Sus scrofa: one gene and its partners. The protein of the gene in region 2 interacts with the protein of the main gene of each other region in a pairwise test. Links are inferred from orthologs where the notes say so. Each region holds a gene or a part of one and is shown on either strand. Other genes may lie near its edges.

Region 1 (4,594 bases), on a different chromosome or scaffold from region 2:
AGTCTTCATCTTTCTCCCAGGTGGCTCTCTGTGCCTGCCCCAGGCTGGATGGGCTCCTGGCCTCAAAAATCTAATGATGGTTCTGCCCCTTTTCATGTGGTGGTCATGACACATCCCACGGACCTGACAGAGAGATAGCTGGGTCCCTGCCTCTGAGGTCGGGTTCACTTTCCCCCTCCCTCTCTCTTCCCCCAGAGACCTCTGCCTTGGGTTCTGCAGAGAACGAAGCTAGCAGGGTCTTTCCACCCTTACCCACAAGTCAGTATGGCCACGGTCATTGTGGAGAAAGGGAGAGGGTGTGGGAATATTCCTCTTGCAGGGAGACCCCAACTCTGTTACTAGTAATGTGGAGGGACCCTTTTCCTGAGGGTTGGAGATACACAGGTAATGGCATGGGCTGAGCGTTTAGACAGCTTGTCCCTGGACTCCAGGCCTGCAGCCCTGCCCTCTCTTCCCCCTGTACCTAGTTCCCTTCTTTCTTTGAATCAAGGCTAGGTCATGGGGTTTTCAGGTGGAGCTGTCCCTTTAAATCTCTGGGTTAATGTCCTAGTGTGTAATCCTGCCTGCTGCCATGGCAACCAGGGGGTGTGCTGTGCCCTGGTGCCACTCCTCAGGGAATAGTTGTCTGGTGGAGGCAGCAGTGCCTAGTGGTGCCCTCATGGGTACAGGGTCTCAGAGGAATGAATGGTGGCTCTGGGTTGGGGTAACTGTCAAGTGCCCCCCAGTGCCTACCCTAGTCCCTGCTTCCTCAATGGTCTCTCACTCACCTTTTCCCTTCCCTAATTCTGCCTTGTCCACAGGCATCACCCTCATATCCAAGGGGGAGTGCTAACGGGAGATGGGGGAGGGTGAAACCGCTGCTGAGATGTGGGGTTAGAAATCTTGGGGTGCCCTTCTGTGCCCATAGTGATGCCACCCCTTTCCCTCCCCCACTCCCTCACAAATGGCAGCTGGGAGAGGCATTTGGGCTTTGAGGTATTTGCCCCACGCCAAAGTGGTGCCACTGCCTCCTGGCGCAGGACCGAGAATCATTCTTGGGGTCTTCCTTTAATCCTGAGGGAGTCATAGTAGAGGAAACTGGGCCTGAAGAGGGGACAGAGAGGTTGGAGGGCACGAAGAGGAGGCGGCGGCAAGGGGTGTAATACAGGAGGGATTTCCAGAAGCGGGGGGCAGGAACAAGATGGGGCCAAATCCCCACCCACCTTGGGTTCCCCGCAGCTGGGCTGGTTGGGGAGAGTCCCTGAGCACCGCCCTAGTCTTGAAGGGGCTGCACGCTTAACCCTCTCCGCTTTCGAATCTTTCCTCAGCCGCCTCCTCCCCACCCCCACTAGAAGGTACTAAAACAGGGGGATCGGGTCACCCGTGGGCTGAGGACTCACTCTCCCACCGCCCCCTCCCAGAGCTTTTACTGCCCCCTCTGGGGTCTGCTTCACTTGGGGCATTGGCCAATCAGAAAGGCGGTCAGGGCGGCTGAGCCTTGCTATTGGCTAGCCCTGCAGGGGGCGCTTCCCGAGTCCCGCCTCCTCCAGCGCTGCCCTCGGACTGGGAAGGCGGCGGCGGTGTGCAGGCCACTCTGGGAGCCTCGGACCGGGCGAGGGGCAGCCATGGCGGGCAGCCCAGGCAGCGGGGCCTCCCTGGAGGGTATATCCCTGGGCTCCTCTGAGGAAGCTGAGCTCCAGAGGGAAGGTAGGGCGGAAAGGCGGGGCGGTGAGGCTGGGGCATCTAGGGTGCCCTAGGAGCGGGCTCCCGGGATCCTAAGGTTTTGGGGGCGCCGAGGCCTGGGCTGAGGGCGCCAACTCCCCTGGCTCAGTCCTCCCTGTGGCTGGCAGGCTGGGAAATCCGGTTATGAGGTTGTCTGGGGACCGTCCCAGGATATCTGGGCAGAGAGGGAAGGGTCCCTGCTCTGGCCTTTTTCTGAGTCTCTTATGGGCCTTGAAGGTCTCTGACCAAGGCCAAGCCCAGGTCTGAGCAGCAGGGGTCTGGAGGGCAGACGTGGATGCTGTTTCTGGAGAAGGTGGGGAGGATGAGGGGGAAGAGGGTGGGAGAGCAGGAGCCCTTGAACCCTGGCTGCCAGCTCTGGTTTCAGTGCCTCCCCCCATCCACAGTTCCTTCCTGGAGGAGAGGGTACTGCTGAGAGCAGTGAGAGGTGCCAGGGACGGTACCCACCCCTCCTCCTCCCCGGCTTGGGTGCTTTTATACAGATGTAGGCGTGGGTGGCAGGGTGGCAGAGTAATGATACCCCCTGCCCATCTCTCCCCCAGCTGGGCACACTGCTTCTCCCTTCCTTCCCCCAGAACCTGCCACAGCCAGGTGGGGGAAGGAAGACACCCCCCATCCCCGCTGGTGGTGGAAGGAAGACACCCCCCACCTTAGGTCTCAGCAGTGGCCGCTTCAGGTGTTCTCACGCCCTTGTCTGATCCCAGGCTGAGGGTTCACCGATCCGTGGGATGACTTGGTTCAGCTTCTGCCCCTGGGTGCCCTCAGCCATCCTAGGCCCCAGGGTGCCCATTTCCCCAGCTTCTACCAGTGTTCTGGGCCTCAGCTTTGGCTCCCTATGATCTAGACTAATTTCTTTCTCTTCTTTCTTTCTTTCTTTCTTTTTTTCTTTTCTTCCTTCCTTCCTTCCTCTCTCTCTCTTTTTCTTTCTTTCTTTTTCATTTTTGGCTGCCCAGTGGCATAAGGAGTTCCTGGGCCAGAGATCAGATCTGAGTGGCAGTCATGACCTGAGCTACAGCTGAGGCAACACCCGATCCTTAACCCTCTGTGCCGGGCTGGGGATCACATCCCACCATCTCCCACGACACCACCAATCTTGTTGCACCATAGCAGGAGCTCCTGTACTAATTTCTTGACAGTTGTCTGTCAGAGCTGAAGGGCCTGTAGATGTATCCAGTCCAATACACCCATTTTACAGGAAGGGAAGACTGAGATCTGTGAGAGGCAGTGACTTGTGCAAAATCACACTGAATTAGTGGCACAGCTGGTACGGGATGCTGTGTAGGCTCTGACCTCCTGCATGGCTGTCTGCTTGACTCCAGGCGGGCACTCAGGGACATGCTCTAAGCCATCGTCTCTCATCCCTGAACCTGCCCGTGTGGGTGGCTGAGTCCTGGGGCTTCAGCCCATCCAGAGGTTGGATGCGGAGTCTGGTTCTCTGGTTTAGGGCAGAACCTGGAACCTGACCCTGCTTCCCTTTCTCCCCTCCCCCTACCTCAGTGTCCACTTCCCGCTGCCTAGGGCCTCCCTCCTGCCCAGGCTGGCATGATCTAGGGCCTAGAGAACAGGCCAAGGAAATTGCCCCTCCCCTCTTAGGGCCCCTGCCCCAGACATTCAAGGTCCCGATGTGCTGGGCCAGGAATGGTTTGCTGCCAGGAGGGGTGTCTTCTGTGGGATGTGCAGTAGGATGCAGGGTCGCTATAGGGTGTGTTTGGGTCTCTGTGCTCAGCTGGCACCTGTGTGTCTCACAGGCTGCTCTTTCCCCCCAGCCATGCAGCAAGTCCTGGACAACCTGGGATCCCTCCCCAATGCCACGGGGGCTGCTGAACTGGATCTGATCTTCCTTCGAGGCATTATGGAAAGTCCCATAGTGAGATCCTTGGCCAAGGTACAGTGCTGTGAGGGATTCAGGCACAAGGGCACGGTGCCTGGGGAGGCATGGGGGACAGGGGCCCTGGGGCTGGGACATGTGGCACCAGAGACCCCCAGAGAGGGTATGCATGAACATCCACGCCCAGATGATGAATCTGAGCCAGGTAGGGAGGCAGGCTGCCCCCATGCCTGACAGATGAGTGTGTGGATGGGCCCGTGTGGATGCGTGTGGTGACTGCCAGCTTGTAGAGGGCATGACTGGTTAGGGGTGAACATGCCTGTGCTTTGGAATCTCCGGACTTCATCCTGCTCATCTTTCTGCCTTTGGGCATTTTGTGCAGACCTCTTTCTAAGGTCACCTGCCAAATGTCAGGTGGAGGAGAGACTCACTAGAGGAGAAAGTTATAAAACAATCTGATGATGGCGGTAATGTGGGCAGAGGCACTAGGTGTTTCGGGAGCAGAAAGGGCAGATGGCTGACCAGCCCATGGGGCGGCAGGGAAGACTTCCTGGAGGAAGGACCACTTGAGCTGAGTCTTGAAGAATGAGGAGGGGGAGGGCATTCTAGGCCACAGGAAGAGCTTAAGCAGAAACAGAGGTGAGAAAGAGCCCGAAGGGTACAGGAGCCACACATGCAGTGTGAGGCTGGAGCTGCAGGTGCAAAAGAGGGAGTATGAGCTGCTGAGAAGCTGGCAGGGGGCAGAGGGCCCTGGAGGCTGTGCCTGGGCTTGCGCATCATCCAATAGACAACCTGGAGCCTCCTGTGGGCTTTCCGCAGGGCTGTGATGACACACGCGGGTGTTTTAGGCACCCTCTGGCAGCTGCATGGGGGGGTGTCTGGAGGGTCACAGCTGGAGCTGGAGAGACTGAGTCCCGGAGGGCCCGGCATGAGACCCGCGGTAACGGCGCGAGGGAAGGGAGGACAGAGGAAATGGTTAGGAGGTAAATCCTTGGTGTTTGGAAGGTGAGGGGTACGGGTAGCCAGGCTCCTGAGATTCTGCACAGG
Region 2 (4,534 bases):
GGAAAGAAATACTTTTTTTTGAGTATTGAGCTCAGAAAGATAATATTTAAATGCAAACCAATTAAAATTGCAGAAGTTTTTTTTTTTTGCTTTAAATTAGAGCATTGGAGGATTAAAAACAAGAGTTTATAACTCTCTCCTGAACATGCTGCCCCTGATAATGTTGCACTTTACTCTCAGACTCGCTAATTACTGGCCATATGGCCCTTAGCACACCTACAGTTAATTCTGTTACTGCCTCAATTATTGTACCGTGTCACAATTTGGGAAGAAGTTGAAAATGCCCTTTATTCTCCCTAATATTCTTAATTAATTCCATCGTACCAGAATTCGAGAGAAATAAGTAAGTTGGGCAAGGTTAAGTAAAACATGAAAGTCAGGAATTGAGGGGCTTTTCAAGAAAAACCCATTTAAGCCATATTTTAAATGAAGCTAAAGCTAAAACAAGTAAATCCTGACTATCATTAGTGTTCTTTTTAAGGATCAAGGCCACAGCGTTCTTTCAGCACCATAAGATTCTCTACCAACACAGGCACCCAGTTATACTGATCTTGTCCATCCTTTTCTGTAGTTCTCAGGAAGTCTCCACCCACTTGGTTAGCAATCATTTGATTCAAAATTGCAAGGAGCAGCTTTCTGCTCAAAGGGGTGAAACTTTATTATCCACATGCAGGAAAGAAAATATCTCCAAGATTCCTCTAAAAGTACATGTAAGCTGCCTCCACGCAGTATTCAAAGAATCCAGACTTCCTTTTATGTTACATGCCCTTATCACATAGAGATTTATACTATCACATATTCTCATTGCTACATCATGGTGTAATTAATTCTATGCCTTTCGATTGATGCTTTTGTTTCCTTTCCAAACATTTTGTAATCTCCTCAAAAATAGCATGAATGTCTCCTACTTCTTCTAACTCCATCCGCAGCATCCTAGGCAGTGGTCCATCAAATATGAAGTCAACTTGTTATTTTACAAAAGTTTCTGTCAAATGCATGACTTATTTTCCAACCATTTTAATGAATGTTGCTAGCTCCCTGCTGTATATTTTGTCACCACTTTGTATTTTATTTTCTTTGTGGACTTTATGGTATGCTGGTACATGTTTAGCAATTAGCTTTCCAGAGGGGGGAAAAAAAAAGAAAATTTCCATACGTAGTATTTGCCAATACCCTTGGTGTAAATACTGCTATCCTGGCCAATCTAAACCTACCAGGGTGATGCCACTAAAAGTGACGTTGGGGCAAGAGGCACATAACTGGGTCGAGCCTAACAGTGTAAACAGCTTCAGCATGTCTGTGGTTCTTACCACTACCTAAGGTTCTCCGATTTATCGTTGTGTTTTATCTGTCTCCCTTCATAAAAAACTAAGCTCCATATGTAAAGGTGCCCTCTCCATGTTTTCCACTGAACCTAGAGCAGTGTCTAGCATATAGCAGGTTCACCATGAACATTTGTTGGATAAAAGTATAATTATAGACTCAAAGATGGATATATTAAAAATGTTCTGAGATGCAATAGTAATTAAAAGGTTTTTAAAAACCAGTAAAGTTTGTGGGGTCTAAAATTTTGGAAATACTTCCTGAGTAGATATGAGAAAGAGATGAATCCGGTAACACTTTTAAAAATCATTTTATCTTGCCTCCCTTGTGTCTATGAGGCTTTCCCAATGGTGTAAGTATGAGGGGATGTGTAAGGAAAAAGAAGAAAATTGTAAGGTTTGAATTTAAATTTTATTACAAAAGATCAATCATAACAGAAAAATGTTTATTTCAAAATGAAACCAAAACATCCTTTTATATTATATGAGTTAAATGGGCATAAATAAAGCATACTAGTGCACTTATATGTGCCATGGCCTATGGCAGAACCAGAGCAAACGTTAATTATTATGCTTATTTTTTGAAGATAATTGGTAATGTAAAATAATGCAAAAAGACCCTACAAGCGAAGATTAATTATTCATATATCAGATTATCTGTCTCAAAGTTTGACAAAATTTCTTTTGAAAGAAATGAAAAATAATTGAAATCGACATTTTATATTTGTATTTCATCTTCAGTTCTCTCACATCCAACTCTGAATCAGTAAGTCATTTCTTTCTGATATTGGTAATTTTTAATGTAGATTCCACAACACAGTTTTTTTTTCTTAGCCTGGATTGTCTTTGGCATATTCCATTGTATGATGAGCACAAAACAGTTCTTGAAGGATTCATTACATTTCTGTTAATTACATTATCTTTCATAACCTGACTCTCAATGGCCCTCTTTAGTCTTCCTTTTCTTATGCTCCCAATTGAACTGCCTGCTTTGCCCTTAAGACACACGTGTCTGTTCTCCCACCCCCGCTTTACTCTCCTGCTTCTCAGAATGCCCTTTTCCCTTGTCTCTGTCTTTTGTAAACCAGATATTATTCTAGACTCACTTCAGTCCTCAATTTTCCATTCTTTGCACAGCACTTAGTCACTAATTGATATTTTTCTTGTTTGCTTCTTATGGATTTCTCTCCCGTGAGAATACACACCAAGTGAGAGCAGGGGCATTTCTTGGTCACTGCAATATCCCAGTGCCTAGAACAGCATCTGGGATAGAGTTACGTACAGTATTTGTTGAATGAACAGACAAATGTTATCAAGACAAATGTTATCAAGTCTAAGATTCAGACATTTTACCATGAACAAAATTGCCACTCAGTTTTTTAAAAATCTAAGGATAAAATAAATATAGTAAGGTGCTCTGTGATGATTCAAAAAACCCGCAAACATTTAGATTCCACAATATAGGTTGGCACTTCATTTTAATCCAGTGCTGTTTTGACAAAACTGTGAGAATTAAGGGAGAGAATATGGTATCTTAAATTAGTCAAAAATAATTTCTAACACCCAAGGCTGAAAGAATTCCAGTTTGAAGGTGCTCTTTTCCTCATATGAAACTGTGCTTATTATACTCCATTTATAATCTAACTAAACACATTTTCTTGGTATGCTAATGCTTTATGCAAACCTTCTCTTGATTTTGTCATATAATTCACAAGGATTCAATTAAGTGAAACAGACCTTAACGTAACTTTGAATGAATTTTTTAACAAGAAAAGATTTTATATTCAAAGTATGTAGTCATTTTAATATTAACCTGTATTTATATAGAATGGAACCAGCATCATAGTTCTTTTTTCTTTGACCTAAATTTCCTCCATGCATTTTTCTCTTTGAGTTTATCTCAAGCGTAAAAGGATAGCTAACTAGCTAGCTAGATAACTAGCTAGCTCGCTAGATATAGATATAGTATACATATATGGAACTCTGAAAGATTAGTATGTTTCTCAGTGCAAAATACAGGAGCTTTCGAATACAGGTGCTACTCTTTTTAAGCAAGTCATTGAACCTCTAAGACTCAGTTTACTGAATCTCTAAAATGGAGTGACAATACCTACTTTTCTGGGCTGAGAAGGAAAGAAAAATCAACCTGGCACATGTTAAGTGCTCAATAAGTATTTATTGAATGAATTTGATTGACTCATTCATGAATTTGATAAAGACTCATTGAAGTAAATTACTATATATCATTTAATGAAAAATTGCATTGATTGTATAACCAGGGTGTTTTAACAATTCCCTGATTAATACACAATCAGCAAAACAACATACATATGAATAGATCAAGTATATTGATCTTGATGAAACACTGTGCTTGGTACCAGAGTGGTCCAGGCGCTTATTCAAGAGATCTAAGTATGGTAACATCTACTAAAGCAACGGAAGTGATTAAGGACCTTTTGTTGTGTTTCTACACGTCTCAAAAATTCACAAACATTTTAGAGAGATAGTAGTTATGCATACTTTATTAAAAAACAAAATCTAACAGATAATAAATTATTATTCATTTTCTACACCTGTGCAGACATAAGCTAAAGGCACTGAACTTACCACTACTAGAAATAATAACTGATGAATATATGGTGATTTGTGCTTTCTCTTACATTTTCTTTCAAACCTTCCAAAAACCCTACAGAGTCAACACAGAGAGAGAATGGTAGAATAAATTTTCAATTAGGGAGCTCAAACCATAAGTCCAGAAACAGGCTATGAAATGTTTGGTGCTGGGGATACATCAAGAAACAAAAAGACGAAAAGGCTACCTTCGTGGACTTCACAATCTAGGATTTATGTTAAAAATATGGCTTTTAGATTTATGAATCAAGCCACTCAAATACATATTCATAATAGAATATGTTAAGAACTACGTTAATGGCCAAGGGATTTGTATGTTCTTTTCATCCTCTGTTATTGCATGAGGTTTGATATTTTGTGCAAAACCTTGGAATATATTCTATTGTTATTGTGCACAATTACACTTCTTTTTGTGGTTTGGTTTTGGGGATGTGAATAATGATAATCAACCCAAACTGTTGCTTCTTCCTTTCTCCCACAGGACTTAACTTTCAGCGGTGCTTAGAGGACTTACTGCTCCCATTCTTGCTCAGAGCTTGCTCATATTCTCACAGCTTGCTCATTATTTGTCTCCCAACTTG
Region 3 (4,368 bases), on a different chromosome or scaffold from region 2:
GTCATTACTTAGAGGACAGACTTGGAACTGTAACTGAAAGGCAATTGTTCCTATAAGCCTGCTCCCAACTTCTGGGTCCCTGGTACCTGCAGGGATAGGGGAGTTGGCAGGGCTGGTCTCAGCTGTTAAGTCAGGAGGATTACATGTTATAATTTGAGGGACAGTCTCCCCATCTCTCCCTCCCTGACACTTTCTCAGTGAAACGCATCCTATTTTCAGGGAGTGGGGGTGGAGTAGGAGGTTAGTACATTGCTTCCGCAAGACCCTTGAGGAAACAAAGGTGGACTCATAAGGGATCAGGAACATACCAGAAATGACCTTCATCCCCTCCCTTGGAGGGGCTCGGGGCACCACCTGGTAGGAGAGGGTGTGGTGAGATTGGGAATCGGAAGAAGAGGATCAAAGTTGGGAGGTGTGGGTAGGGTGCAGTGGGAATGAGCCATTGGGTATCCTGTGGGAAGTAAACGGACCTGGGAAACAAGGAGAAGGAAAAGGAAGACGTGGAGGTTTTTCCTAATTCTGAGAAGAGAAACATATTTCCCTTCTGCATCCGCCTTGCCTCACTCTTGGGCACAGGGCACAGTCAACTTCATTTCATCCAACTGGCCTGACTATGAGGGAGGGGGGCTCAGCATGGGCTCGGAGTTACTGGTATCCCTTAGTACATTCAGATGTCCTTAAATGCTTCCAATTTCCCTTCCTCAGGTTTGCTGTTCCAGGAAAGAAGGTTCTAAATTAATACTCGACAAACTCCCCCTGTGTGTGGGTTTGCAAAATTAATGATCCTAATGGAAAAGTAAATTAATCTTTGATGCTTGGTTGAGGCTAAGAGAAAATGTTTTGGGTCTTAATACACCCCTTCCATAGCATTCTCTCCCTCCCTCCCGTGCTAGCCACAATGCAGCTTGAAAACTCCATCTCTGAATCCAAAGGGCCATGTTGCTAGCATTTAGCAAATGCCTGGTTGGTGCAGGACAGTGCCACTGTGCCCAAGAGAAGCCAGGAAAGGCTGCATAGAGGAAGCCACCTGATGCGATGTTCCGCCCTTGTCACGTTTTACTTGCACTTTCTAAATTCCCGGTTTGAAAAGACTGCAGTAAACGTTTTGTAAAATGTAAACAAGGCGTTCATAGCTTCTTCAATTTCAGGAAGCGGCAGCAGCTGACACAGCAGCTTTGCCAAAAGCCCCATCACAGGTCTGAGGGTTCACAGATCTCTTGGGATTCAGGGAGAGGTTAAGGGAATCGGAAGTTCTCAGACTGCCTGGCTGTGTTTTTCTACCAGAGCCTCTGCAGCACCGCATCGCTCAGTTCCTTTCAACTGAAAAATTAAATCTGCGCTCCTGTCAAAATCTGTCATCTGCACACCCGGACACTCATCCCAGTTCACCATGCACCCCGCAGAGGCAGAGTCCAGGTGGAAAGGGTGGCGCAGCCCCACTTCCGAGGTCTGCGAAGGCCGGGTGTCTGGAGGGAGCTCAACAACTGGTGTCCCAGGAGTGTTCGGCAAAGCCGGCTCCGGGGGTGCCACGGGCGCCTCGGTGCTATGAAAAGAGCTAGTGTCCGTCCATTTCCTCGGGTGTGCATCACACTCCCTGGCTGGGCCTCCGGGAGGAAATTCACGGAGGACACAGCGCCGTAGAACCTGCTGAATACACATCAAAACCAGAGGTGCGTGTGTGAAGGGGGAGGGAGGAGATTTTCCAGAGGCTTTTTTTCTTCGAGGTCTTTTTATCCTTTGGGCCCCACGGCTGGTGGGTTCTTTGAATGTAAACTCTTGAAAGGGGCTGGGAGGAGCCTCTTTTACGCCCGGTGGAGTCTCCTGCTCCTCGGTAAATGCTGAGTGACAGCTGCAATTTCGGCCTGGAAGATCCGGTGGGGATTGGGGCTGGGGGACCCTCGCGCGCGGGCGTGCGCGGCTCGGGGCCGGACCCGGGAGCCCCGCGAGAGGCGGGCCGCGCGGTCGGGCCGGGGCGCCGTCTGCCGGCGCGGGGAGGGGGCTCCACCTGGTCGCCCCGCCGCGGCCGGAGGGGCGGGGCCGGCTTCCCCGAGGCGGTGGCGCCTCCTCGCGCCCGAGCGTGCTCCGCGGCGTCCGGCGCACGCGCGAGGCCGGGAGGGAGCGCGCCCCGGCAGCGGCGGGAGGAGGCGGAGGAGGAGGAGGAGGTGGGCGGCGGCCGGCCGGCGGCGGAGGAGGGCGGCGGAGGAGAGGCTGGCCGCGCGCGCGGTGGTGGCAGCGGCGGCGCCGGCGACCGGAGCCGGGCGGAGTGGGGCGCGAGGGAGGGGGCGGAGGGGGAGGGCGGCGCAGGGGAGCGAGAGCCGCCTTTCCAGGTCCCAACTACGAGCCGCGAGTTTGTAGATGGGGCTGCTCGGCGGCGCCTGCGGCTGAGGAAGAGCAGCGGCGGCCGGCGGACGGGAGCGGCGGCGGCGGCGGCGCGGAGGCGGCCGAGGTGCGAGCCGGTGAGTTGCCGGGGCCCCACGTCGCTCGGGTAACGGTCTCGGCGCGCGCGGGGCCGGCTGCGGGGGCGCCCTGTTGCTCACGGCTGCGGGCCACGCGGGGACCCTGGCCCGCCCCGCCCCCTCGGCACCTGGGCGCGGGCGGCGGCGGGGGCTGCTCCGCTCGGGCCGCGCGGAAGGGACGCGCTCTGCCGGGCCCCTGGCTCCCGGGCTGCGGGCGGGCGGAGCGCGGCAACGTGCCTGGCCCATGCCGCCGGCCGCCGCGCCGCGCCCGGCTCTCGCCAGCGTGCTCCCCGGCGGGGGCCGGGCTGGGGCTGGGGTCGCGCGGGGGCCCTCCGGGCGCAGGGCAGCGGCGCGGGGCGCGGACCCCCTCTGCGGCGGGAGCGGTGGGAAAGCGTGAATGGAGGGCTGCGCCGGGGGCGGCGGCGGCCGTGACGGACACCTCCGGGGTCCGTCTCGGGAGGGGGCGACGCAGCCGACCTCGGGCCGCCTCCCCAGCCCCGAGTCGTTGGGGGAGGAGGCTTTCTGCAAGTCCTGCCGCTACTTCCGAGGCACGAGACTCCAGTTGTTTGAGCAGAGTGCTTGGGGGCCGAGCACACGCGGCTCCGGAGGCGGTTGCGGCCGAGGCAGTGCTTTCCGATTCTGGGTACGCGTGTCTGGAACCCGAAAGGTGCTGGGGCTTTTTCTTTTTCTTTCTTTCTTTCTTTCTTTTTTTTTTTTGTTTTTTTGGCGGGGTGAAGGGCCAGGAAGGGAGTCGAGTCGACTGAGGGATCTTACGGTCGTTGTGATGACAGGATGTGGATGGTTGGTTGGTGGGTGTTTTTTGCAGAAGGATTTTTTTTTTTTTTTAACACTTTCTTGGGAGTTTCGTCTCCGTCTCCGCAGCTCCTGGGATTACAGCGCGTGATTCCATCCGTTCAACTTCCATCAGCTGGGGCATGTAAGCAGGGTTGGGGGCAGGCGAGGGACGGAGTTGAAGGCTGGTGGGGAATCTCAGGAAAATTCTCCGCCTGACTTACAAACAGCTGGTTACATTTTACTCCTTTTCTATGCCTTTGGGGTGTTGGAATTTGACTTTATGCCTCCTGAATTGGCCTCCTTGTAATACGCCTTGGAACATTGGAGGTGCGTTAAACTGCTTTTCAATTGGAGTAGGATTTAGCAGCCATGTCTTCCCGAGAAATCTTTGAAATGGTCGTTCAGAAACTTATGCAGGTCGAATATTTCAGGCGAGGCAACACTCTGTTACCAATGCGGAGATAGTTGCGGTACATGTGTGAAACAACGGATCTCACGCTATTACTGCTTATTTTAGGCATCTGCTGTGCAATTATGATAAGGTATCAGGCCTGATTATAGTCATGTCTTCTGAGGCCTGATTACAGCAAACAACTTTCATGGGTTGTGTCATCCTGAGGTCATCTGGTATCTGAGATCTGTCATATATTTAAATGTATGTTTAAATACATGTTTGCACAATGTGTTACTTTTTAAGGTCTGTGCTGCTTTTAGTTTAGACTAGGGTTACATAATATACAAGTGGTAACACTTTTAATAGCCCTGGTTTTGTCCTGTAGAGATTGCATGCTAAATATCTTTATGAAAAAACATGTGGGGGTCTGTGTGTGTCCTTTTCTGATTGATGCCACTGGGTTCCTTTTCCATTTGGAATTTCAAAATGACTCTCTTCTTTATATATTCAAGATTAAATGAGCACTGGAAAAAATAGGGCCTTCAGCAAGGCTGATAGTTCTGTGGAAGACAGAATCATTTTTTGTTCTCTGGCCAACTGTTGGATTTTTTTTTAAACGAATCATATTTTTCTTAAACATTCGTGGGAGCAGTTTGCATTTTTCCTGAGTCTCATTTCAGGCTGAAATTGTTCCAGAAGACTACACAGCCTGTGTCTCTCTGC
Region 4 (4,478 bases), on a different chromosome or scaffold from region 2:
CTTGCTCTGTGGGTTAAGGATCTGGCGTTGCCGTGAGCTGTGGTGTAGGCTTGTAGATGCGGCTCGGATCCAGTGTTGTGGGCTCTGGTGTAGGCCGGCGGCTACAGCTCCGATTCGACCCCTAGCCTGGGAATCTCCATATGTGGCGGGAGCGGCCCAAGAAATGGCAAAAAGACAAAAAAAAAAAAAAAAAAAAAAAAAGAAAGAAAAAAATTCTTCTAAAAAATGCTCTGGAAAAATGCGGAAAAAAAAAAAAACACAAAACGCTGTCTTTTTTCCTCAATGGCATTTCTTTGAAAAGCTAAATCAGCGGTTCTCAACTGGAAGTGAGTTTGTCCTTCAAGGGAATCTTTGACAAAGGCTAGAGACATTTTTGATGGTCACTAGGGGCTAGTGGTGCTATTGGTACCTGATGGGTAGAGACCAGCGATGCTGCTAAGCATCCTAAATTGCACAGGTCAGTCTCCACAACAAAGAATTACTTGGTCCAAATGTCAATAGCACCGAGGGTGGAAACCCTGAGGTAGAGGGGGAAAAAACTCATTGCGGAGCTAAAGGAAGCTTCTGGAATTACTTATTTTATGCATTTAAGAACTTAGAAAGGAAATGGGCCTCTCTTTACACACCCATAAAGCACACACACTAACATTTTTTTTCTTTCCTCCTCATTGGATGTGGGTACCAGTTTCTAGGGAATCCTGGAGACTATTTGGATTTTCTTACACTGGATGTGGGTTGACCCAGGTACCCGCGTTTTGTGAAAACAGCTGTGGCGCTTGGCACCCTTCCTGCCTGGCTTTCAGAACTCGGTCCGAGCTGCTAGCTTTGTGGAGTCTTCCGTGGTGGCAGAGAATTCTTTCGTGAGACCCCACACATACCCGTGTTCACGTAAGCCATGGTTCTACTCTTTAAACAAATGTTAGATCGTGGGACATGCTTCACAGGACATGAGGAGTCGCCTCAAGGGAATTAGTTATCCGTCAGGAGCCGACGGACATTTAGGGAGAGAGAAAAGGTCTGTGGAGCGTTAGTTCACTCCCATTGCGTCTTAGGGAAACCTCACGTCCTCGCATAACCTGGCCCGCGGGCTCAAACCCAAAGTGGTTCCCTAGCGCCTGAGAGCCCGAAGCACTTCGCGTTTTCCACTGAGAGGCGCGCGAGTGCGCGCGCGACCGGCCGCTCAGAGCTACGGAGCGGGCCAATAAGCGGGCCGTCTCTCCGCGCCGGCTCGGGATTGGGCAAACCGCGCCAGCCTCCCTGCCTGACCGCAGGCGGGCGTGCCGGGGAGCCACTGGGATAGGCGCGCCCGCTGCGCCAGAGTCCCGGGGGCGCGTGCGCGGTCTCGCGGCTGCCGCGGGGGCTGGTCTCGCGCGGTCTCGAGGTGGAGTCGCTGGAGGCCGCGGCAGCGACGGCGGCGACTGGCGGTGGGGCGGGGGCGGGGACTAAGGATTGTGAGGTGGGGAAACGCGACTTTCTGGATTCTTTATCCGGTATTTTAAGTGCAGCTGGGGAGCTGTCGTTTCTGCAGCGTTGAGGAGCGGCTGGGGCGGGAGGAGCGGCGGCGGCCACTGGGGCGCGGAGGTAAGTGGCGTCCGGCAGCGGTTCCGTGTTGAGGTCTTAATCAACAGGTCCCCGCGAGCGGCGGGGGAGGGGGCGGCCGGGCTCGCCCCCTCCCCCTCCTCTGGGCCCGGGCGGGACCCGGGGCTCTTCACGGGCTGCTCCAGGCAGCGCTAGCCGGCCGGCCGCAGAGGGCGTGAGCCCAACCTTTGTCCCTCGGAGGTACGCTGTCTGGCCGTGCCCGCTCCCTCTGCCTTGGCGAACGACCCACCTCGGCGGGGACTTTGCCCGCCCAGCCAGAGTTGGAGGGAGGCCCCTGCTCTCTGCGCCCCCGCCCCCGAGTTCGCGACTCCCGGGACTCCCTCCAGGCCGGGTCGGGGAAATCGGCGGGCGAAGAACATTTTCCTTTAGAAGACGGAATGTAGTCGGCGTTCCTCTGCCTGACTCAGCCCCTGGTATTCGGCTGCTGGTTGCATTCTTTAAACAAATAAACAAACAATTTCTACTTCCTTGTAACCACTTTTAAAGAAGAGCCAAATCTCGTTTATGGTTTCCGATAATTTGCTGTAAGTTTGCAAGGTGAACTTCGAAGCCCTCACTTGTTATAAGCTGCTTTTAATGGAAGGCGCTTTAAACAATCTTTGGTGCAAATTATGTAATTTCCTATTAATAATAGCTCACCTTCTCGTTAGTTGATTGACATACAGTAAGGTGTCCGGAATTTAGGTTTCGGTCGAAAGGCAGTTGGCGCTCAAATTAAAATCTGGTAGCTAGGAGGTTTTTGGAAGCAGTACATAGTGTGTGTTTTATCTCCGCACTCGTTTAGAGTTGTGAGAATTTAGATTTGGAAAGCCCTTAAGAACAAGAGTTTTGGAATTTTGATTTTAATAAGGTGAGAGGTGTCACGATTTCTGATTTTTTTTTAAAGTCTTATGTGTTAATGATAGCTTCTAATTATGTTTAGATTATACCAGAAGTTAATAAGCTATTAAATTCTGCAATAGGAACAAATGACAGGCTGGTTATTGGTGTCTTTGAAGTATGAGTATTGAGGTAATAAAATTGTTAAGTGAGCTTTTTTGGATTATAAACTAATTTTTTACTTGATCCCTGTGGACTTGGCTTATTACAAGTTTTAAAAGGCTCTTTAAACTACTGTAACAGGTGGAAGCTATTAAATTAAGAATTTTATAGATGAAATAGGCAAAAAATACAGAAAGCAATTCATCATTTTATCTTTGGTAAAACAAAATCAAGTAAATCTTACCATGTATTTGATTGACTTTTGGCCAGACAGATCTTAACTTGACAGGATGAACTCAGTAATATTAACTTGTTTTAGAATGTTAAAATGTGAAAGAATATATAATTTTTACCTGAGGGTTACCCAATCAGTAGAATGAGTTTAGGAGTTTACATGCTTTTTCTGAGTTATTATTATCTTGATTAAGAAGCGTATTACAGACGTACCAAGAAATTTGGTCTACTTTATACATCATTTGTTGAGTTGGAAGTAATTTTAGTGTTTGTATCATCTGACCTCTTCGTTTTCCAGGAAAAGGAAACAGGTTTATACACCGACTAGTTAAGTGGCAGAGTTGGAACTAAATGCTAAAATGCTTGCCTTCAGATTCTAAGTACAGTGTTCTTTTCACTATATACTGTTGTTAAATAAACCAATTAAATTACCCTTACTCATTTTCCCCCTTTCTTTTAAAAATAACCACTAACCACAATTAATTCATTTCCCTACTGAAGGGCTGTTTTCAGTTTTTCAATGTTTCAAACATTGTTTAATGAACATCCTTGTGCATGCATCCTTCAACACTTTTGTGAAGTTTTCTCCAGAATGACTTTCTGGGTCATAGGTCGATGTACATTCTCACCTTTACTAGCTGCAGCCAAATTACCCTCTAAAAAGTTGTAACAGTTTACATTCCTGCCAACAGTATATGAGTCATCCTTGTCCACACTTGCAATTGTCAGATTGGCAATATCAGATTTAATTTGTGCCAATCTGATGGGTGAGAAAGGTATTTTTATTTTCTTTCTTTCACAACAGTCTTAACTTTGTGAAATGAGGTTAACTTTTTGTTGTACAATTGTTTTGACAAATGCGCAAAGCTGTTCAATTATCCAAATCAAGACACATAACAGTTCCAGTGCCTGAAATTCCTCTGAGCTACTCTTTTTTGTAGTCACCTCTTCCCCGACCCTTGATCCCTGGAAACTAATGATTGTTGTCTTTACCAGTAGCTTGTCTTTTCTAGAATATCAGATAATGGAATCATTAGAACATTTAGCCTTTTGAGTCTGGTTTCTTTCATATAGCGTAGTACATTTGAGTGTTCATCCATGTCGTTGAGTATACCAGCAGTTCCTTCCATTTTATTGATGAATGTAGTATTCCAATGTGTGGATGTATCACAGTTTGTTTCTCCATCTACAGTTGAAAGACATTTGAGTTGTTTGTTTGGACTATGAATAAAGCTGCTATAAATCTTTGCCAACAGGTTTTCATTTTTCTTGGGTAAGCACCTACGAGTGAAATTTCTGGCTCATGTGGGAAGTGTATGTTTAACTTTATTTAAAAAACAAAACAAAAAACGTGCTAGAGGAGTTCTCATGTGGCAAAGCAGGTTAAGGATTCGGTTCGGGTTGTTGCTTTTTTTTTTTTTTTTTTTTTTTGTCTTTTTGCCTATTTCTAGGGCCGCTCCCGAGGCATATGGAGGTTCCCAAGCTAGGCGTCTAATCGGAGCTGTAGCTGCCCAGCCTACACCAGAGCCACAGCAATGCAGGATCCGACCGCATCTGTGACCACACCACAGCTCACGGCAATGCCGGATCGTTAACCCACTGAGCAAGGCCAGGGATTGAACCTGCAACCTCATGATTCCTAGTTGGATTCGTTAATCACTGCG

What was found.
Region 1: the proteins of LIN7A (region 2) and MPP2 interact in binary tests that used the Homo sapiens proteins (3 or more experiments, as listed by UniProt). The two-hybrid records come from large-scale screens. The link is inferred for Sus scrofa from reciprocal best matches to the Homo sapiens genes LIN7A and MPP2.
Region 3: the proteins of LIN7A (region 2) and MPP6 interact in binary tests that used the Homo sapiens proteins (3 or more experiments, as listed by UniProt). The link is inferred for Sus scrofa from reciprocal best matches to the Homo sapiens genes LIN7A and PALS2.
Region 4: the proteins of LIN7A (region 2) and MPP5 interact in binary tests that used the Homo sapiens proteins (3 or more experiments, as listed by UniProt). The two-hybrid records come from large-scale screens. The link is inferred for Sus scrofa from reciprocal best matches to the Homo sapiens genes LIN7A and PALS1.

The regions. Positions count from the first base shown.
Region 1 is NC_010454.4:19,244,489-19,249,082, forward strand, and holds the start of MPP2 (MAGUK p55 subfamily member 2), read left to right. Parts: upstream 1-1,576; 5' UTR 1,577-1,604; coding exon 1,605-1,686; intron 1,687-3,485; coding exon 3,486-3,604; intron 3,605-4,594. UniProt on the Homo sapiens protein: Postsynaptic MAGUK scaffold protein that links CADM1 cell adhesion molecules to core components of the postsynaptic density. In CA1 pyramidal neurons, required for synaptic KCNN2-containing channel function and long-term potentiation expression.
Region 2 is NC_010447.5:100,531,904-100,536,437, forward strand, and holds the start of LIN7A (protein lin-7 homolog A), read left to right. Parts: upstream 1-1,726; 5' UTR 1,727-4,534. UniProt on the Homo sapiens protein: Plays a role in establishing and maintaining the asymmetric distribution of channels and receptors at the plasma membrane of polarized cells.
Region 3 is NC_010460.4:47,708,591-47,712,958, reverse strand, and holds the start of MPP6 (MAGUK p55 subfamily member 6), read left to right. Parts: upstream 1-1,546; 5' UTR 1,547-1,670; intron 1,671-2,278; exon of another isoform or gene 2,279-2,456; intron 2,457-2,974; exon of another isoform or gene 2,975-3,123; intron 3,124-4,368.
Region 4 is NC_010449.5:90,954,202-90,958,679, forward strand, and holds the start of MPP5 (MAGUK p55 subfamily member 5), read left to right. Parts: upstream 1-1,329; 5' UTR 1,330-1,581; intron 1,582-1,831; exon of another isoform or gene 1,832-2,123; intron 2,124-4,478. UniProt on the Homo sapiens protein: Plays a role in tight junction biogenesis and in the establishment of cell polarity in epithelial cells.